3 linked regions of the Stegostoma tigrinum genome follow. The main gene of each other region encodes a partner of the protein of the gene in region 3 in a complex. Links are inferred from orthologs where the notes say so. Each region holds a gene or a part of one and is shown on either strand. Other genes may lie near its edges. The genes, in order: cdhr5b, anks4b and cdhr2.

Evidence for each region.
Region 1: cdhr2 (region 3) and cdhr5b share a complex: the UniProt entries of both Homo sapiens proteins name them as parts of the IMAC/intermicrovillar adhesion complex. The link is inferred for Stegostoma tigrinum from reciprocal best matches to the Homo sapiens genes CDHR2 and CDHR5.
Region 2: cdhr2 (region 3) and anks4b share a complex: the UniProt entries of both Homo sapiens proteins name them as parts of the IMAC/intermicrovillar adhesion complex. The link is inferred for Stegostoma tigrinum from reciprocal best matches to the Homo sapiens genes CDHR2 and ANKS4B.

What each region holds. Positions count from the first base shown.
Region 1 is NC_081370.1:35,282,288-35,289,648, reverse strand, and holds the start of cdhr5b (cadherin-related family member 5), read right to left. Parts: upstream 3,111-7,361; 5' UTR 2,901-3,110; coding exon 2,789-2,900; intron 2,699-2,788; coding exon 2,526-2,698; intron 1-2,525. UniProt on the Homo sapiens protein: Intermicrovillar adhesion molecule that forms, via its extracellular domain, calcium-dependent heterophilic complexes with CDHR2 on adjacent microvilli. Thereby, controls the packing of microvilli at the apical membrane of epithelial cells.
Region 2 is NC_081376.1:33,800,248-33,807,608, forward strand, and holds the start of anks4b (ankyrin repeat and SAM domain-containing protein 4B), read left to right. Parts: upstream 1-4,269; 5' UTR 4,270-4,396; coding exon 4,397-4,560; exon of another isoform or gene 4,561-6,333; coding exon 6,334-7,361. Other genes in the region: slc25a17l (peroxisomal membrane protein PMP34), read right to left, coding at 643-711. UniProt on the Homo sapiens protein: As part of the intermicrovillar adhesion complex/IMAC plays a role in epithelial brush border differentiation, controlling microvilli organization and length. Plays a role in assembly of the complex.
Region 3 is NC_081366.1:45,702,504-45,709,717, forward strand, and holds the start of cdhr2 (cadherin-related family member 2), read right to left. Parts: upstream 3,077-7,214; 5' UTR 3,008-3,076; intron 1-3,007. UniProt on the Homo sapiens protein: Intermicrovillar adhesion molecule that forms, via its extracellular domain, calcium-dependent heterophilic complexes with CDHR5 on adjacent microvilli. Thereby, controls the packing of microvilli at the apical membrane of epithelial cells.

The sequences.
Region 1 (7,361 bases), on a different chromosome or scaffold from region 3:
AAATATAATCATAACGCACAGGATCACCCTTGAGGTCAATGGTTTTACACAGTAAACAGACACAACATGATGACAAATATAGGCCTGAGTTTTACACCCACAATTAGTGTGTGTGTGTCCCCCAACTCTACCCTCACCACAAACATAAAATATGGCACACTGACATCAGATTGACAATTCTGGCACCAGGTGCCAGTCTCAGAGAATACAGAAAGCAGATAGACAAGGAAATCAGAAGATTATCCAACATTTAGAGATAAACAAAAACTATTGAGCTTCTTTCAAAAGAAATCACTTGCTTGCAATTTTTTTCATCATCTAGTGCATTTTTCAGAATGTTGGATGGGCCAAAGTTTGTGTGTATTTTTTTACAGCATTGACTTGGCTCACCGAGACGAGTGAGCAAGAAGCAAGCAGACTAGCTATTTGTCATTCTGCTTCCTGCACTTCGCCAATAAACATAAGCCCCAGTACCCTGTCCCAGAACTTTCAAATGAGCTCACTGCTTTTGTGTAAATCCTTACGAATGTTTCTTTCACCACTTGGTGAGTTGAATCACAAGTACTATGTCACTTATTCAATGCCTTACATGGGGCATGAAATGGGAGGACAGGAAAGCAACAGGAGATATTGCTGACTGGGAAGGAGTGGTTTGAGGTACTCTTTCACACGTTACAGCCTGTCCCTATGGTGCCGTGAGCAATTGCCATTGGTTGAGAACTTACCGTGTTCTAATTTAAAACAAAAACTGAGAGGGAAGTAAAGCGTACTTTAGCCTTTATCACAAGAGGTTACTGTAAAGGTGTAAGAAAATCTTGCTGCTATTATGTTGGATATGGATCTGAAAGGGTTAATGCTGAGACGTGCCTTAAGGACTCCACTCTGTGATAATGTCATGTGGACCTGATGGGAGTACAGCTTAGGATCTCTGAGGTATAATGGAAAATGGCTGCTCGTCTCAGTAATCAATGTAATTTGTACATAGTTGTTTAAATGTATATAAATGGGAACTTGTTAGAAACAAAAGCCTCTTCTTGTTAGACCAGCCAATGGTTTTCCTCTAACGTATGAGATCAGCTGGCCCTCTAAGACCCCACCTTAAAAGAGGATGGTGGCTGAAGGCCTACTGCATGATGAGCAATCGTGCAAACAGTCTCACGCAACAATGTTGTGTGCAGAGATCGTTGCTCACGCAACATATTACACGGAGCCTTGGTAACACTCAGCCTGGAGTACTAAGTATAGTTTTGGTTCCCCTTACCTAAGGAAGGATAAACCTGCCAAAAAGGAAGAGCAACAAAATTTCATGAGATTGATCCTGAAATGAGATGGCTGTCATATGAGGAGAAATTTAGTAGAAGGGGCCTATATTCTATGTCAATTAGAAGAATGAATAGTGTTCTTATCGAAATACGTGAAAGTTTGTGAAGTTGGAACATCGAGAGGCTGTCCAGCTGAGCTCACAATAACGGGTCTGAAACATGGGTACAAGAGGGGACAATTTAGTCCATCAAAACTGTTCTACCATTCAATGGTTGATTTATGATGTAACTCCATTTCCATGCCTACTTATCACTTAATATCATTAGCTGACAAAAAAGTGTTCAATTTCAAATGTAAAATTAATAGTTGATCCAGCATCAAATGCTTCTTACAGGAGAGAGTTCCAAGCTTCTACTACCCTTGCAGTGTTAAGGTTTGTCTTAAGCTTACTTCTGAAAACTCAGCTTTTAATTTATAGACTGTATCGTTGCATCCTGCTCTTCCCGCCAGACAACTACTGTTGTGTCTAGCTATCCTCTTTGTTTCTTATGATATCTTCAAAATTTAGATTAAATCATCCCTAATATTTCTAAATTTCAGGGAATTGAGGCCGAACGTGTGTAATGGTCCCTTGTAATTTCACTCTGGGAGCTGAGTATCTTTCAGGTAAATCCTTTCAAGGCCAATGCAACTATACCCCTGTGTCTGTGTGGATCTCCTGTCTTCCTGTGGCTGTGTGAATCTCCTGTCTCTCCCTGTGTTTGTGTGGAGCTCCTGTCTTCCTGTGGCTGTGTGAATCTCCTGTCTCTCCCTGTGTTTGTGTGGAGCTCCTGTCCCCAGTGACTGTCAGGATCTCCTGTCCCCCTGTGACTGTCTGGATCTCCTGTCTCCCTGTCACTGTCAGGATCTCCTGTCCCCCTGTGTCTGTATGGATCTCCTGTCTCCCTGTCACTGTCAGGATCTCCTGTCCCCCTGTGTCTATATGGATCTCCTGTCTCCCTGTCACTGTCAGGATCTCCTGTCCCCCTGTGTCTGTATGGATCTCCTGTCTCCCTGCCACTGTCTGGATCTCCTGTCCCCCTGTGACTGTCTGGAGCTCCTGTCTCCCTGTGACTGACTGGAGCTCCTGTCTCCCTGTGACTGACTGGAGCTCCTGTCTCCCTGTGACTGGAGCTCTGGCCTCCCTCCAACTGTCTGGAACAACTATTTCCCTGTGTGTATCTTGAGCTCCTGTTTCCCTGCGACTGGTTCATTGAGATTACCTCAAAATCGATTGTTTTTGTGAGCACCAGTGTGGTCCCATTGACAGCAACATCAGGTGTCTTTGACGGATCTAATATTGTAACCGGAGGTTCCCTTATTGTTATATTACTGATGACCAGGTTTGCATTGTTATTCTCTTTCACGTGTATGGGATTTTCTGAAACACAACAAGCTAGAGAAAGATAGAAAGGACGTTAAACTTACAGTTAAAAAGGGACAAACAAAACAATTGTTCATGCATAATATGAAAGGTGTGGCTTACCCTTGTTGGGAGAGCAGTGGTTATTAACAGCAGCAGTTGCATTTATCTGAAGAACTGCGAACAGGATGAACAGCAAGATGTGGGGGCCACAAATCGTGCGGCTTGTGTCCATTCTCTCTTGGACGCTGAAGATTTTTGCCAAAAATCATAAATAAAGCCTCACTAGGCCCAAGTCACTGAACCGAAACTGTCCCAGCCTCAACCGCTTCTTTCTGTTAGCAGCTTGAAAGGAATCCGAATCAAAATAGACTGACGGAAATATTGGTGCTTGTTGTTCCAACCTTTGCTTCATGGCGTTATTACTTTATTGCTATTCTGCATACCCAGTCACTGTTTAATTCCCACTATGGAAAGTCATAAAAGCTGATCACATCCTGCACTGACACGCCACTGGCTGCTCGTCAAAGGCTAATGAGATACAGTCTCACTTCAAGTGGGTGTGAATGTTTCATAGATTCCTTACAGTGTGGAACCAGGCCCTTCGGCCCTACAGGTCCACAGTGATCCTCAGACCCAGGCCCTATAACCCACCTAATCTACACATCCCTGAATGCTACAGGCAACTTAGCATGGCCAATCCACCTAGCCTGCACTTCTTTCAACTGTGGAGAGAAATCAAAGCACTCAGAGGAAACCCACACAGACACAGGGAGAACGTGCAAACCCCATGTAGGCAGTCACCCGGGGATGGGCTTGAACCTGTGTCTCTGGTGGTGTGAGGCAGCAGTGCTAACCACTGAGCCACCATGCTACCCTCTCCAAACTGTTGACAGATCTGAAAAATACATTTCCTGATAGACGCTTCTGATCAAAGTCTCCAACTGCTCTCCAAGGGCCTATTACATTGCTTCCAAGGGTGGGACTTTAAAGGAGGACACCAGCACCCACACCCCAGCTTTCCCAACCACCACTCATACTATTAATTGCCTCTTAAGCACTTCCCCCAACTGTCTCTAATAGTTCACCAGCCTCAGAGGAGAGGGTGGTAGAGGCTTGCTCATGTCCCTTGGTGGATGTTGTGAATAAGATAGATCACTTGTAAGCCAGAGTCATGCCTACTCTTGGGACTTTGTCCACCATCACCACGGTAATATCTGGCTCTGCTTACTCTACACTTAACATCCTGATCCTGGCCTTCACCATTTCTCATCCAGGGCACAGCAGCCTGGTCCCAGTTCCAAGAAGTGATCATCATTGGGAACTGAATGCTAGCCCAGCAGTTTCACAACTCCCAGTGGCACTCCTCAGGCTGGAGAGCTATGACCAGGTCTCAGAGAGGGAGCCTCATCCTAAAGGGGCATGAGTATCCCTCTGTGATTGAAGGATTTCACATTAATTCCCCTAAACACAATCTAGGAACACTTGCCTCTTGCTGCCCCTTACTTGGTTTCTATCCCAGTCTATACCCAGATAGTTAATGACGCTATGATGTTGACCCCTCGCTAGAATTTCTTTGTAAATTTGTTCCTGTACACTATTCCCATGCGGTGGTGATCTATAGATTGCATTGAACAATGTAGTTATATTCCTTAGTTCTAACTAAATTAATTCCACCCTTGACCTCTCTGAAATCTCTTTCTCCAGAACTGCAATGATGTCCTTACCCTAAAACCCTCTGAATCCTCTCCTCTGATAACAAAGTGTGGAGCTGGGTGAACACAGCAGGCCAAGCAGCATCTCAGGAGCACAAAAGCTGACATTTTGGGCCTAGACCCTTCATCAGAGAGGGGGATGGGGAGAGGGAACTGGAATAAATAGGGAGAGAGGGGGAGGCGGACCGAAGATGGAGAGGAAAGAAGATAGGTAGAGAGGAGAGTATAGGTGAGCAGGTAGGGAGGGGATAGGTCAGTCCAGGAAAGACGGACAGGTCAAGGAGGTGGGATGAGGTTAGTAGGTAGGAGATGGAGGTACGGCTTGGGGTGGGAGGAAGGGATGGGTGAGAGGAAGAACAGGTTAGGGAAGCGAAGACAGGCTGGGCTTGTTTTGGGATGCAGAGGCGGGAGGGGAAGACCTGGGCTGGTTTTGGGATGCAGTGGGGGAAGGGGAGATTTTGAAGCTTGTGAAGTCCACATTGATACCATTGGGCTGCAGGGTTCCCAAGCGGAATATGAGTTGCTGTTCCTGCAACCTTTGGGTGGCATCATTGTGGCACTGCAGGAGGCCCATGATGGACATGTTGTCTGAGGAATGGGAGGGGGAGTTAAAATGGTTCGCGACTGGGAGGTGCAGTTGTTTGTTGCGAACCGAGCGGAAGTGTTCTGCAAAGCGGTCCCCAAGCCTCCGCTTGGTTTCCCCAATGTAGAGGAAGCCACACCGAGTACAATGGATACAAATACCACATTGGCAAATGTGCAGGTGAACATCTGCTTAATATGGAAAGTCATCTTGGGGCCTGGGATGGGGGTGAGGGAGGAGGTGTGGGGGCAAGTGTAGCACTTCCTGCGGTTGCAGGGGAAGGTGCTGGGTGTGGTGGGGTTGGAGGAGAGTGTGGAGAAGACAAGGGAGTCCCGGAGAGAGAGTGGTCTCTCTGGAAGGCAGACAAGGGTGGGGATGGAAAAATGCCTTGGGTGCTGGGGTCGGATTGTAGATGGCGGAAGTGTCGGAGGATGATGCGTTGTATCTGGAGGTTGGTGGGGTGGTATGTGAGAACGAGGGGGATCCTCTGGGGGTGGTTGTGGTGGGGGCGGGGTGTGAGGGATGTGTTGCGGGAAATGCGGGAGACGCGGTCAAGGGCGTTCTCGACCACTCCGGGGGGAAGGTTGCGGTCCTTGAAGAACGTAGACATCTGGGACGTGCGGGAGTGGAATGCCTCATACTGGGAGCAGATGCGGCGGAGGCGGAGGAATACCAGCCCAGTTCTTCCCCACCGCCACCCCCCCAACTGCATCACAAAACCAGCCCAGCTCGTTCCCTCCCCCCACTGCATCCCAAAGCCAGCCCAGCCTCTCTCCGCTTCCCTAACCTGTTCTTCCTCTCACCCATCCCTTCCTCCCACCTCAAGCCGCACCTCCATTTCCTACCTACTAACCTCATCCCACCTCCTTGACCTGCCCGTCTTCCCTGGACTGACCTATCCCCTCCCTACCTCCTCACCTATACTCTCCTCTCCACCTATCTTCTTTTCTCTCCATCTTCGGTGCACCTCCCCCTCTCTCCCTATTTATTCCAGAACCCTCTCCCCATCCCCCTCTCTGATGAAGAGTCTAGGCCCAAAACATCAGCTTTTGTGCTCCTGAGATGCTACTTGGCCTGCTGCGTTCATCCAGCTTCACACTTTGTTATCTTGGATTCTCCAGCATCTGCAGTTCCCATTATCACATCATTAATCCTCTCCTCTGTTTTTTTTTCCTCTTCTATCTCTTCAGACTGTCTTACAAGCAGGAATATTTAACACCCAGACCTGCCCTTCTCTGTTATCACACAGCATCACAATTTCACATGACAGTCTGCACCTTGTAGCTCCCCAGTGTTATTAACTGTGCTTTGTATGTTCACATACATGCAGTGTATTCAGACTTCATTACTTTCTCTCTCAATCTGACTCCACTGATTATAATTTACTCTTCTCTATTTTTGCGCTATCTGCCTCTCCCAGAATTTTGTGCTCCTTTGAATTACTTTCTATTAGCCTGTCCTGGTTCCCACACCCTTGCTGAGTTATTTTAACATCTCCCCAACAGCACTAGTAAAACATGCGTCAAGGTACTCAGCCCTGGTTCTGTTCAGGTGCAAGCTTTCTGACTTGTATAGAGGTCATCTTTCACAGGGCCCAGTGCCAATGTCCCAGGGATTCAAAGCCCAGCATTCACCTGCCTAATCCTCATATTTCTGTACTCACTTGCTTTTGGGACTGAGACTAATCTGAAGTTTGCTACTTTAGAGGATTGTTCTCACAGGGCTCCTTAAAGTATGATTGCAGGCCCGCATTCCCTTTTCTCCCTCTGTTGTTAGTTTCAGTGTGGGAGATACCACCACTGCCTGTTCAACCTCCCCCAGAAGAATGTCTGTGATATCACTGATCATAGCACCAACGACACAACAGACCATCCTGGAATCACATCAATGGCTGCAAAAATGCCTGCCTGCTTCCCTTACCATAGAATTCCCTTTCAATACTGCCCTTTCACTCTGATTGCTCCACTCGTGCAGAGCTGGGCTACCTGTAGTGCCATTAGCTTGACTCTTGTTACACTCCAATATCTAGAAAGAAAACAGCTAGCCAGCAGGACCACTGGGGATTCTTGCAGTACCCTCCTGTTTCTCTTGGTTTGCTGGTATCAGTCATTCCTGAACTGCCTTTTTACGTTCCTTATCCCTAATTTGGAGCATGACAACATCTGTGTGTGCGCAGTCCATGTAGATTGCTGCACCTCAGTGATTCCAGCTGTTGCTCCAGCTCTGATGCTCAGAGCTCAGGTTTATGCATCATGGTCACTTCCAGCCCAACTGGGTCGTGAGATGATAAAGTGTGAAGCTGGATGAACACAGCAGGCCAAGCAGCGTCTCAGGAGCACAGAAGCTGACGTTTCAGGCCTAGACCCTTCATCAGAGCTCTGATGATGGGTCTAGGCCC
Region 2 (7,361 bases), on a different chromosome or scaffold from region 3:
CTATTTCTGCAGCCTCGTCAGAGCGCGAGAAAGGCTCCGAAATTCTCCCTCGGGAAATTGCCGAGGGAAATGTTTGTTAGATTAATGACGGGGGAGAGATGACATCGACACTCAATCCCTGGGGTTATTTCCAAAGATTTGAGATACATTAAACACTGTGCCACCGAAACTGAAATGAATCAGCAGGAGAGCACGCTTCAGCCGATCCAGGAGCCTACCTCTTTTATCCTTTGAAAAATCTTTCTCAAACTTTCTCTTACAGATGGGTCTTTCAAGTGTTTTTTTTAACCTCGGGGCAGATTTAACTTAAATCTGCACTGAACGGGCGGAAAAGTTCAGCTAGTCACAGAGTAACACAATGACTGGGTCTGCACATTGACAAAACCCAACCAGGAAATCTGAGGCTGGAATACGGATGCAGCCCAACCCTGGACGCTCACATGTAAAATTCAGAGCATTCAACAGAACGCTGCGAGGAACGCTGGGCTGAAGCTTTAACCAGGCGGGTTACCCCGAGGCTCCAGTTTTCACCTAACACACTCCCGGTGAGGTTTGGAGACCGGGGTGTGTGTTGTTCTAATTGAAGTGCCTGGTGCACGGTGTATCCACCGTGTTTAAACTCCAGGTCATCCCACAACTTACCACCATCCCAGCCACTGCGTGCACAAGTGTCTCGTAGGAAGCAAGAGAAGAGCTGGCAGAGCCCTTCATTATTAATCCAAGAAATGAAAGCAGGATTGTTCGCCAATCTATAGAGAAATACAGAGTCTTCCTTTAACTCCGGCTCCACCCAGCACTCGGAGAAATACTTTGAGCAAACCCACGCCCTCTGTTGGTGAAAATGTTCAAGGACGTCCGGCTGGAGAAGGAATTGGGCGGCAGGCAAACTCATTTAAAATCTAGCCATTTGCGGGATTAAAATCGGACCCAGCGTATTCCGGCGTTAAAAAAAGAACAAACATTGAACTTCCAGGTGTGGCATAGAGACACTGATTCAGTCAGAGGCACTAACAGTGAAAGAAAACGTATGTTCCTCACGCATCCAAAACTGAGGTCTTTCTATAATCATGTACCGAGAGGCTGTTAACATAGAGAACCCCTTTGTAGCTGGTATTGAAATGTATATCGTTTCTGGTCAAATTCAGTAAATGTGCCAATTTTGCACATACGCACACGTGTACAAAATGTTTAGCTCAGAAATGTAATTTTTATTCAATCTAATGTAATGTCCGACTCGATTTTTTATACAGATAAATTATGAATCGAGTATATTTTGTAAGACAAAGATGCGAGTAACCAAGCAAATATAACAGCAACAGCATTCAAAAAAACGAACATGAAGATCCTCTGACATTTTCCAGTAATGTGGAAAATTGCCCATATATGTCCTGTCCATCAAAAGCAAGATAAATCCCCAACATGCCCAATTACTACTCTCGATCATTCGTAAAAGTGATAGGAGATTCATCAACAATGCTATAAGGCGACTGATGCTCAGCTTGTGTTCCGCCACCTGACTTCATTAGGGCCTCAGTTCAAATGTGGGTAAGAGACCTGAATTCCAGAGGTGTGGAGGGAGTGACTAACCTTGACATTAATACCATATTTGACCTAGTGTGGCATTAAGGAGTCCTAGCAAAACTAAAATGATTGGAAATCAGGGACAGAACACTCCATTGGCTGGCGTCATCTCTGGCACAAAGAAAGGTGATTGGATTGTGGTTGTTGGAGTCATCTTAGCGGCAGGACATTTCAGCAGCAGTTCCTCAGGGTAGTGTCCTAGGCCCAACCATCTTTAGCTGCTTCGTCAATGACTTTTCCTCTATCATAACGTCAGAAGTGGGGATGTTGTTGATGATTGCACGATATTCAGCAATATTCAGGAGTCCTCAGATACTGAAGCAGTCCACGTTCAAATGCAGCAAGATTTGGACAATATACAGGTTTGGGCTGACAAGTAGTAAATAACATCTGTGCCCCACAAATGCCAAGCCAAGATCATCTCCAACAAGACAGAATCTGATCATTGCCCTTTGACATTCACTGGCATAAACCTCATTGAATCCTCCACTGTTAACATTCTGGCGGGTTATCTTTGATCAGAAACTGAACTGGACTAGCCACATAAATACAATGGCTACAAGAGCAGGTCAGAAGCTAGGAATACTGCAGCGAGTAACTTACCCCCTGATTCCCCAATGTCTCTCTATCATCAACAAGGCTCCAGTCAGGAGTGTGATGGAATACTCCCCACTTGCCTGGATGGGTGCAGCCCCAACAGCACTCAAGAAGCTCAACACCATCCAGAGCAAAGCAGCCTGCTTGATTGGTACTACACCCACAAGCATTCAGTTGTTCCACTACCAACATTCAGAAGTAGCAGTGCACACCATCGACATGATGCACTGCAGAAATTCAAGAAGGGTCCATCGACGGTATCTTCCAACCTGTGATTGACACCATCTAGAAATACAAGGACAACAAATACATGGAAAAACTACAACCTGCCAGTTCTCCTCCAAGCCAGTCCCAACGTTGACCTGGAAATATATCAGCATTCTTTCACTGTTGCCAGGTCCAAATCCTGTGGGCCTCCCTCCCCAATAGAATTGTGGGTCTACTTCCAGCGCATGGACTGCAGTATTTCCAGAAGGCAACTCACCATCACCCTTTCACCATCTTCCCAATTAGAGAGAGGCAATAAATGCCCACCCAGTGACAACCACATCCAATTAAAAAATGGTGTCCATTGTTCATTTTTCACTTACCATTCAGAAATGGAATCTGCTCCATCCAGGTTTACCAGTCTTCAAATGTGGCTGGTGAATTGGGCAGCAGGGAAGGTCAGTTCTTGTGTTTAAAAGGTTGCATTTTGGACATTTTTAGAAGTTTGCAGCCTCACAATCTCACCTTTATTTCTTTTTTAAAAGATGCAAACGCTGCAGCTCTGAAACAAGAACAAAAACAACAGAGCCAAAAAAAGTTAGGAGCAAGGGAGGACCATTGAGCCCCGAAACCTGTTCCGTTATTCAAAGCAAGCAGAAAACTTTGCAAGCAGATGTCAAATTAATGAGTATCTGTAAGAGAAAATAGAGGGTAATGTTCGATTAAAGAGTTATCAAATCATTTATCTATTTTGTTACTTTGCGCGATACCAACCCTCTCACACAGGGGCTAGGTTGTTCTAAATGATGTGTACAGAGGTACTTTTAATCACCACAGCCACAGCCAGCAATGGCAGAAGTCTGCATGAATCACCCTCTCATCTTCACACCGACTGGTAATTTTAGGAGCGTGAACCAGTTGTTACTGTATATCAGACCGATCCAACTATATCGCAGCCAATTCGTTTTGAATGTAGTCAGTGTTGTAATGTTGGTGTTTACAACAATATTCACCGAGATACTGTACGTGGAAGCTTGGCTGCTGTTTCCTCACTAGTGTACACTTCAAAAAGTGCTTCATTGGTTACAGAAAAATAGTTTGACGTGAAAGGACGTGAAAGTTGCAATATAAATAAATGTAATTCTCCATGTTTCGGTTGTAAGCTGCACTCATTCTCTCTGACATATTAAGGACCCCGATTTACTGCGTTATTTCTGAGTGTGTTTGGCATAAACAATCTCCGGACGAAATGAATGAATCTGTCGTTAATGGTTCACTGACCACTACCACACCCCCTCCCCCAAAATCCCGTGTATCTCTGGCTGCAAGCGGTTGCTTCTCAAAACGTCTTACTCTCCCATTGATTATCATTATGATTCACACTTCGCTTCTCAACCGTAATAATTTATTACAACTCGAGGACATCGAGTGAGAAGAGAATTTGACATCAACCTATAATTCAAAGGTCGGTTGGTGTTATACAGTTAGAACATTTTAAGGTCGATCCATGTTTCCTAAACAAATAGATAAAACTAAAATGACAAAAAAAACCGCTGAGGATTTAGTTGCAAATATCAGAGACACAATCGATGCGAAGCAGCGGGAACCTTGCATTGCGAAAATGCAAAAACAGTTGAAGTATTTATTGCGAAAATGCAAAAACAGTTGAAGTATTTAACGGATAAACAATGGAAGGGATAACTAACATGCAAACACAGACATTCGTTTGGTTTTCAGTTTAGGCAGATAAATGGTGCCCTTTTGCAGACTGCAATTTACATTAAACAATGTTTAAATCACATAAATGTGCTCAAGAAACAGGAGGAAGTAACGGGGGAAACAACACCTGATAATCTCGTCAGCTGGCCTGCCTTAAATCTGCACTCTCTGGAGAGTGGACCTTGTTCCCACCCTGGGCGGTGCCACTCCATCTCCCGGTCCTCGCTCACTGGCTGCTCCCTCCAGCTGCGAACGCTGTGAGTGTGTGAAGGCCAGCCTCAGGATTTGAGCCATGACTGAGAGGTACCACAAAGCGGCCAGGGATGGCTACCTCGGTCCCCTGAAGGAGGCCACAAAGAGGGATCTGAACAGTCCCGATGAGGACGGAATGACCCCGACGCTTTGGGCGGCATATCACGGCCATTTGGAGGCTCTGCAGCTCATCTGCAGCAGAGGGTGAGTGTCACAACCTGACTCTTTTATGTTACCCTTCATGGTTCTTTTTCCAAATAAAATGATCATCTGTTTCAGAGGGGAAGAGGATTGTAGATTAAGATACACTGCAATCGCTTTAAATCATCCAGGCTGAACTGATCTGAGAGTGCTGCACTGTTCGAGATGCTTTCTTTCATTATGAGTCCTTAAACTAAGGCCTAAGCAGGGCAATGTAAAAGGTCCCACGGTTCTATTTTGAAGGACAGGAGGAGTATCCCTGCAGCTCAGTCCAACATTCGTCTTTAAACGTCACGAAGACTATAGTCCAAACATTATATTATTACTGTCGGTGGAAGCTCGTTTAACACAAATTGGCTATCAAATCTCCTACTGTAAAAGTCTCTGCACAAAAAAGTCGTTCTTTATTTGGAAAGTTTTTGGAACATTTTGACTTTGTGAAAGGCTGTATATAATTGCAAGTCATTCAATGTTTATTTGAAGCAGTTTAATCATTATTTTTAAATTTATATTTCCTTTAATTGAGAATTTATTTTGTAAAAGTGCTTTGAGGTAATAGACATTCAGACAATGTTGCAGGTTCTCAGTTGACAAACTTTCCTTGAACTATTTGTTATATGGGGGAAAGATCCCATTACAGAAAGAATCCAAATTAATATAAAATAAATATTTTTGTAATTAAACAGCAGAGGAATCCACAGAAATACATTGTGATGTAATGTGTCAGGGGTGTGCCTCTCATCAACGTGAATTGATGTCACAAATCATGATTGTAAAGTCACGGATCAGGCATGTCTACCTGCAGCATTGCTCAAAGTCACGACAGATATAGATTATTTGCCGGTCACTGTCAAACTTTGTCAAGGGTTCAATGTGCCAAGCACTCCAATCACATGGGAGAGAGGGGAAAAAGCACAAAGTATGCATTTTTATACCATTGTCCACCAGAACCACATGTACCCCAAAGTGCTGTACATTTAATTGAGTACTTTATGAAGTGTAATCACTTTTGTGATGTTTGTATCACAACCTGCCAACTTATACACAGCAAACTCCACAAAGAGCAATGTAATGATGACCAGACAATCTGATTCAGTGATTGATCAAGGGATAAATATTGTCCACAACATGGGGATGAGCTTGCCTACTCTTCTTTGAATAATTTATTGGGATCATTTATGTCCACTTAAGAACACAGATAGGGCCACATTTACTATCTCATCCGCAGGATTAGCACCTCCTAACAGTCTAGAACTCCTTCAGTACTATAATGAAGGGCCCATTTGGATTAAGTGCTCGTGTTTTTGGAGTGGAATTGGAACCCATATCCTTCTGACTCAGAGGGCAGAGTGCCAAAGTTGTAAGCAGTGGGCATAGTCTGCTGCACTAGTTATTGGAAGTGCTGAGTGTGTCTGTTAGCCTAGTTATTACTTGTCCTGCTCAGTTGGACACATACCCTAGACTTAGGTTCTAGTCTCCATTAAATGAGCTGGTCTTCACTAAGCTACTCTCGGCTACTGCAGGCATAAGCATCCCATTCAAATTGTAGGTTAGATCAGACTTGCCCATGATGTCTTTTAAGGTCAACTCAGCACTCACTGTCTGAGGCAAAGTATCAAGAATGACAACTTGGGTAAAGAATCAGGAGGTTAATAACCCAGATCAACATGTACTACCAGTGCTAGGAAAAATGTGTAGTTTGAGAATTTGAAGCAAAAGACTCACGACATTATGTAAAACCCTGTATCAAATCAACTCTTTGTGCTTGTACTTCAGTGGCGATCCTGATATCTGTGATATCTGGGGCAATACACCTCTGCACCACGCTTCAACCAATGGCCACCTTCACATTGTCACTTTCTTGGTTAACTTTGGTGCAAATATTTGGGCTTTGGACAATGATTTCCATTCTGCCATGGATGCTGCTGCCAGTAAGGATCGAATGGAATGTGTCCGCTTCCTGGACACAGCTGCCACCAAGCACATCACCATGAATCCGAAACAGGTGGCCAGGCTAAAAGAAAAGGCAGTAAAGGACAGTGAGAAACAAATCAAACTGTGTGAAAAACGCAAGAAAAAGCACCAAAATCGGATGAACAAGAAGTATAGCCGGGAGATGGAAGCCCAAAGTGAAGGTGCTGCTTCTTCAGTACAGCAAGGAACTATATCCAGTGTCAGCAACCTCTCTACAGTAAGTGAACCACAACACAAAGGTACCATTTCTTCCATTATCAAAGGATCTCTGCAGAAGAGACTTAAGAAGAAGGATAACAGCAAAAGCTTCACTCAGCAGCAACTAGAAAAGGATGTCATTTTTGTAAAGCAAGAACGAGACATTGGGATTCGGGCCAATGTACTGGATGTGTTTAATGAAGGAGATGAAGAGAATGCAGCTTCTTCTGATTTGAAATCCTCTGACTATGATAACAACTTCGGTCATGAGTCTCTCTTCAATCGACCAGGATTGGGAAATATGCTCTTCAGGCGGAATTTTGTTCTGGGTTTAAACGTGGAAGAGGAAATGTTCAGCAGTAATGAAGTAGAAGACATTGGTTCCAAATTGCGCAGCATAGTGTTGAAGCCCAAGGAAATGTCTCCAGATCTTGAAGCTTTCAGTGAAGAAGAGGAAGATGATTTGCCCTGGAACGAAGATGATATCGGTCTGGATGATGATGAGCCTGAGACGACACCACTTGAAACCTTCTTGGCCTGTCAGAATATGACAGAGTTCATCCCTTTCCTGGCAAGAGAGCAGATTGACCTGGACTCCCTCATGCTGTGCACTGATGGCGATCTGAAAAGTA
Region 3 (7,214 bases):
TGCAGACAATGACGAAGGCTGTCACAAGCTATCATGTCACATCAGTGCTAACTGCTGGACTGGAATTGTGTTCACAAGGACAGGGTGGCAATCCTACCCCGTAGCCAGAACAACAACAACTGCCAGAATTTTTTTTTCCACCATATCATTTCTTGGAGCTTCTAAGGACTTTATGGGTCCTCAACTCATTATTGCTTCAAGGGTGTCACTGAATCTCCCCTCACAAGAAGATCCCTTCCATTTAATCTCAGTCGCCCTCAATGCAACCAGTCAAACAGCTCCATCATTTGGCTTTCCAACTGTTGCAGGTTTTTCACAGGGTGAACATGCAATTGTTTGCAACCGTAGAACAATCAGAGTACCCTGTTGTGAACCAAAAAAGCATTCCACTTCCTTAGTGTTCACATTATTTGTGACCACAACACTCCAGGTATTGCAGGATTGTGTTATATATTCAGGGATCCACCCTAACGTGCACACCAGGGTGACTCATTGGTGCCATCATCTTTCAAAGGCCCTCAAACCATACAAGGACAGTTTCTGGATGGCAAATAGAATCTCCTCTGTACCTGGTTGATAACATCTTGAAGAAATCCTGTGACTGTTGCCAAGGGAGATACAACTCTTCAACCAGAGCTATTGTAGAATAGACTGAGTCCTTCTGAATATGTGGCTTCCAAGCCTGAACCAGACAGGTAGTACCTTACAGCATACCACAGACAGTGCGTGCCTCATCATGGTGATGTTTTGTGCCCTCCACAAAGAAGTATATAAAATTATGAGAGGCCTGGTTAGGGCAGATAGTCAGAGAATTTTTCCCAGGGTGGAAATGCGAAATACTAGAGGGTATAGGTTTAAAGTGAGGGGAGCAGTTTAAAAGAGTCATGCAAGGCAAGTTTTTTACACAGAGGGTTGTAAGTGCCTGGAATGCTCTGCCAGAGAAGGCAGTAGAAGCAGATATGATAGCAATATTTAAGGAATAAAGACCATGTACAGACAGATGGGATTAGTTTAGAATGGCACAGACATTGTGGGTTGGAGGGACTGCTTCTGTTCTTTTTTATATTCTACAAACGTCAGAGACCTTGAGCATTTCTTCCTCCACTAGCTGCGGACAAGTGTCAGGCTCTGACCATTTGTGAATTGCCTGTGTAGTGGCACAGTTTGACTGAATGATAGTTCTATGTGTACTATCAGAAAAAAGATGATGTCAGCTCTCCCCTTGTGGAGGGAGTCATTGACCCTTTTCCTGCACTACAAGTTGTTTCTCCTGTGGGGAACAACAGCATTGACACATGCTGCAAGGATGTGTCTGATGGGATAGATTCCTGATGCCATCACCAGGAACAGGAAGATCCTTCTAATGATGATGCAGCAGGGTAGCATCAGTAAACCAGGGAGACAGTAGAACCTTCCTTGCAGGCATTTCTGGGCTTGGGGGGTTACACACTGCAGGCTAACTGGAAATCCCTTGTTTCCCGGTTTTTTTAAGTGGTGTCCAACTGGCATTTAAAGATGGCACCTGAACCTTCAACACCAAAAGGTCGCAACAGCACTGACAGCGATGAGGCTTGTGCATCATTACACAGAGAATGAGCTTACATTCACATAATCATGAGGTAATTGCATTGGTAGATACGATGCCATCCAATATGCTCGATGTTACAGGATGGAAAGTTATGCCCAGAGTGTATACAAAGAGAAGAATTAAAATAATGGTTATGAGGCCAAATGACAGTGATCACTGACCACTGTACTTTCTCTTGTCCTAAGTGCAAAAACATGATGAAATTGTGCTATTATACCATGTTGATCTCATTTTCCAAGGCAAAATAAAAGTAGGAGTTAATTTACATAATTATAAAATAATTGGGGGTCATGATCATATAAAATGACTTCTACAATGTCTACATAGCAACATAGGAGTAGTGTAGGGCACCCAGCACACTGGGCCTGTGCTACCATTCAACATGATTATGGCTGATTGAAAACTTTGACATCTTCACTTATACACTATTCCCAGAACCCTTTACGCCATGAGTAATCAAAGATTTATCAACCTCTACCTCAAATATTGTCAAAATCTACCTTGCACAGCCCCCTAGAGGGATGAATTCCAGACATTCACAACTCTCTAAGTAAAAGAAAATCTCCTCATTTCAGTCCTAACTAGCATCCACTTACTGTTCAATAGTGTACCCTTGCTCCAGACCCACAACTAGGGGAAAAATCTTACCTGCATTTATCCCATCTATCCCTTTAAGAATTTTGTAAGTTTCAATTAGATCACCTCCCATTCTTCAAAACTCCAGAGAATACGGGCCATTTTACCCAATCTCATGAAGGGGGCTGTGTGGATTTCAAAACCCAATGTACATTTTCAGTTTCAGTTTATAAAAATGGCATGGAAATTGAAAGCACACTTTGGTGCTACAGTGAAATATGCTCTCAGGTTGTGACAGCAATTTCAGATTTCACCAAAGACCTCGGCACCAAATGAAAAAGGCACTTTCTCACAGAGCGGGAAGGAGGAATAAAAGTCGGTGGATATGAACACGCGACTAAAAAATCAAATATCGCAGTATTAGCGGGTGTCACCATGGTTTGTCTGCTCCTCTGTATTTGGCACAGATTGATATGTAGTGTTAATAATGGAGGTAGTTACATTACTTGGTTTGCAAAGTGAAAAACTAAGGTAGAAAGAAATCCACTCATCATTTCCTGTCATGGCGAAATGGCCAGTAGTATATATAAATGACAATGAATGTAAATATCTTTCACTTGGGATGTACTTTACAATCCCCATACAAATACATTTTCGCTAGCATACGTTGAATTCCAAAATAAAGAATATTGCACTGTTTTCAAATAAATATATCCAATGATAGCAAATTACCTCAAAAACTTTTGTGTCAAATTCTAAGGCATCGAACAGTAATAAATTATCACAGGATAATTAACTCAAGTTTTCAATTTGTGTATGCTCTAAGAAGATGTGACTACTTACGATTTTTACTGGAACCTTCTTTGTGTGAAATCTATTCTCTCATCGTTGGTTGACACTGATGGACTTTTACTTGTTTTACAGTTGAAGCAGTAAACCTTCCTACGTTATAAATGTTACTGATTAACAAATCACAACTGACAGAAGGTGTTCGCAATGGTACAAACACTTCCTTCATGAGTCAGAGAGAAGAAAACAATTAATTGACAAGCAACTGGCTACTTGTTAGTAAACCATGAGACAAAATTTGAAACCTATCAACATAAATCTTAACATACGTATAGCAAAAACATTGATATTTTATATTATTTAATTTCTTACACTTTTCCTGTATATATCTATATATATCAACAGGTTTGTACAGGCAAGGACCTTATTCTCTAGGTAATGAAGCAGATGCTTATGTAATTGAAAGATTATTCTGCTGTTTCTGCCACTATGAATTTGTTGCTTGCCTTCATTAGCTGAGGCAAGGAATATAGGAGCAAAGAAGTCTTCTTCCAATTTTAAAAAAATATTAGTTAGGCCACAGGTGGAAGGCTGTGTGCAGATTTTGTCACCACACTATCTGAAGGACCTGACTGCACTGGGAAGGATGCCAAGGAGATTCACCAGGCTGTTGCCTCAGTTATGAGGACAGACTGGGTAGGCTGGGTTTGTTTTCCTTGGAGCAGAGGAGGCTGAGGAGTGTTCTGATTGAGGTATACAAAATTATTTGAGGCTTAAGCAAAGTAGATTTTTTTTCCCCAAAGCAGATATGTCGAAGAGCAGACGGCATAAGTTTAAAGTGAACAGTAAGTGATTTAGAAATCCGAAATTAAAAATTCACCCAGAGGGTGGCAGAAATATGGAATATGCTGCCCGAGAGGATGGTGGAGGCATTCACTCTCACAACATTTAAGAAGCATCTGGATGAGTACTTAATATGCCAGGGCATAGTGAGCTACAGACCAAGTGCAGGTAAATGGGATTAGTTAGTTTGGTGTTTGTTGGTTGACCTAGACACGGTGGGCACTGTGCCTGTTTCTATTCTGTATGACCCTATGACTTTCTATGACTCTATAAAAAGCAGCCCATTTGATTGGCACCACATCCATAAACATTCAATCCCTCCATTGCTGATGCTCAGTAACAGCAGTGTCTACCATCCACATGATGAATTGCAGAAATTCACCAAGGCTCCTTAAATAGCACCTTCAAAACCCATGACCACTACCACCTAGATGATCAAGGGCAGCCGACGTATGGGAATGCCACCATGTGCAAATTCCTCTCCAAGTCACACACCGTCCTGATTTGGAAATACATCAAAGTTGCTTCATTGTCACTAGGTCAAAATCCCAGAACTGCCTCCGTGATAGTATAGTGTGTGTACCAACGTCTGCCCTTGCTTCCAGTCATGGTCTTATGTCCCTGATCACTAATCAAACCAGGAAACCCTATCCTCAGGAATGTGACTGCCTCATGGAAAAAGGTGTCTGGGTATCTTTCCCTCTCGCAGTGTTAGCCACTCCATCTTCAGCTCAATAACTCCGTGCTGAAATTCCTGCATATTATATCCTGGATCACTCCAGGACCGAAAAACACCCACCTTTTGAAATTCATGATTTATTTTGGCTGTCCCAAATTGCCACAAAAGTAAAACACTTTTAACATGTTGAGAAAGCAATCAATGTCGCTGAACCATATAAGGTGTTTATGACAAATCTGAATTTGAAATAGTTGGTCTTCCTAATGCATTTAGGGAGTTCAGAGTTAAGAAAATTTATGCACTTTTACTGGTAAACTTAACATCTATAGTCAGGAATCTTTCAATTTAAGATTATGTGAGTGAATATTCATCAGTTACTAGGAAGTTAACACTTGTTGTCAATTACCATACAATGTAAATATTATAGGTGCAAATGGAATATTGAAGGTGTTCAGACCAGAAGATTTAACTGCTAATAGCAATTTTATTTTCAGCAAATCACTGAGTTCCCCTTGGTGTATTTTATATAAATAGTATTTTAATTTTACGTATAAAAACAAATATATTCACCTATTTGTTTACTTTTTATTTGAATCCACCAGTGACACACTGAACATTTTCCAGAAAATAATTCAGGATGATTGTTGTAATTGATAGCATGTGAACTTTGAGTCTGGTTATAAGCTCTAAAGAATTCACTTACTGTGCAATAAAATGGTGGAAGGCTAGATAACAAACAGTATGATGGCATAAACCAAATGTAACCCTGGCAACAGAAATCATACAATACCTTTAAACCTTGTGATCTAATAATCTCAGTCCTACAGTGGATCTAGCTGTGTTGTCATTTTTGATTAATTACTTACCCACAACATGAGGATTGCTGTTACAAATCATTCTACAAACATGGTTCTTCTGTAAAATGGCAAGCAGCTCTCATCTTCTATATTCATAATGTCATGACTTCAGATGGTACTCATCCAGTGTACTAAAAATTTCACTGCCTTTTATCCTACTTTCACCCGAGATTGTTCCATATTTAGCACATGGTCATGTGTACCAAATCTTAAAATTCATGAATTAACAATTGGTTAACTCTTTTCCATTGGGTGAATCAGTAAAGGAGGGCAGCCTGGTGCTATGTATTTGATGACTGTATGATAAGATCACTGATCCCATGACCACAACCTTTACCTCTGACAGTTTGTGCCAGCTTCTGAGATTTACATGGATTGATTTTACAGTTTTCCAGGAAAATTGATTAAGAAGGAGTTTGTAACTGACTGGCTTCATCGACACGGAAATAAAGGTAAAGTCGCCGTAATCTCACCAGACCATAGGGCTGCTTTCTAGAGAGAAATGAATGGTGGTAGTTTAAACTGAGGGTCACCGGACCTCAGGCAAAGGGAGAGGTTAAAAAAAACAATGCCACATGCTAACCTCAATCAGAATAGGAACTGAACCCACACAGCTGGTATCTCTCTACTTCTCAAAGCTGTCAAGGCAACTGAGCTAAACTAGCCCCCTCTACATGAAAATATCAAATAAAGTAGCTGTTGCTTCATGTTGGTTATAAAGAAAGGCTGGATAGGCTGGGACTTTTTTCACTGGAGCATAGGAGTTTGAGAGATGACCTAATAGACATTTATAAAATAATGAGAGGCACAGAGAGAGTTAATGGTAGTTGTCTTTTTCCCTAAGATGGGGATTTCAAGAGTAAGGGGCACATTTGTGAAGTGAGAGGAGAGAGATTTACACAGAGAGGGATTTGCATGTGGAATGAAGTTTCTGAGGAAGCGGGGGATGTGGGTACAATTCCAATGTTTAAAAGATATTTGGAGAATTATATGAATAGGAAAGATTTGGAGGATATGGGCCAGGAGCAGGCAGGTGGGACAAGCTTAGTTTGGGATTATGTTCGACACGGGCTGGTTGGACTGAAGGTCACTTTCCATGCTGTATGACTCTGTTAAGGCACAACAGTGACTTCAGGAAGAATGAAAGGTGTTGATATGCACTTGAATATCTTGCTATCCCTCAATGTAGTGGTAATCCTCAGTATAAACAGCATATAAACAAATAAATTTCAAAAAGTTAATATATCATATGACATTGTGTGTTGATAACATTTTATTGAGAGATAAAACTATGCTCCTAACAGCAAAACAGCCAAGAAAACTAGGAGACAGACTTCATGATGTTCATGACAATCAGATTATTGAAAACTGCTGGCAGCACTACAAGATGATGGGATGGAGATTAAACATTAACCAATGGGAATTTAGATATTTCTAAAAGTTGAGGAGGAGGCAGTGGGGGTTCAAGTTCCTATTTATTTTAAGAATGAATCTAGGGTAGCCCTTCTATCTTCTCTGCTTCTGTACCTAGCAGTCTTCACTCTCACTCTGGGATGGCACAGCCAAACTCCCATAGAATATGTTCCCAACCTACCAGAATGATAATCTCACTTTCCAAGTCAATTTCTCCTAGACTGGGTTCGTGAAATTGTAAATTGTGCCGGCTCTGCGCTCTCTGCCCCACAACAGAAATTCAGGCCTAAATATGTAATGTATATCTGCCAATATTAAAAAGTCTGCTTCAAAATGCCAGAAAACCTGATCTAATTAGTGTTAAAGATAAAAATTTGCTTATGTTTATCTTCTAAATTTATTAGTACTTTTACTTTATGGAAAGTAGCAGTAACTGCTGCAAAAGGGGACAGAGTTTCAGTCGCAAAGC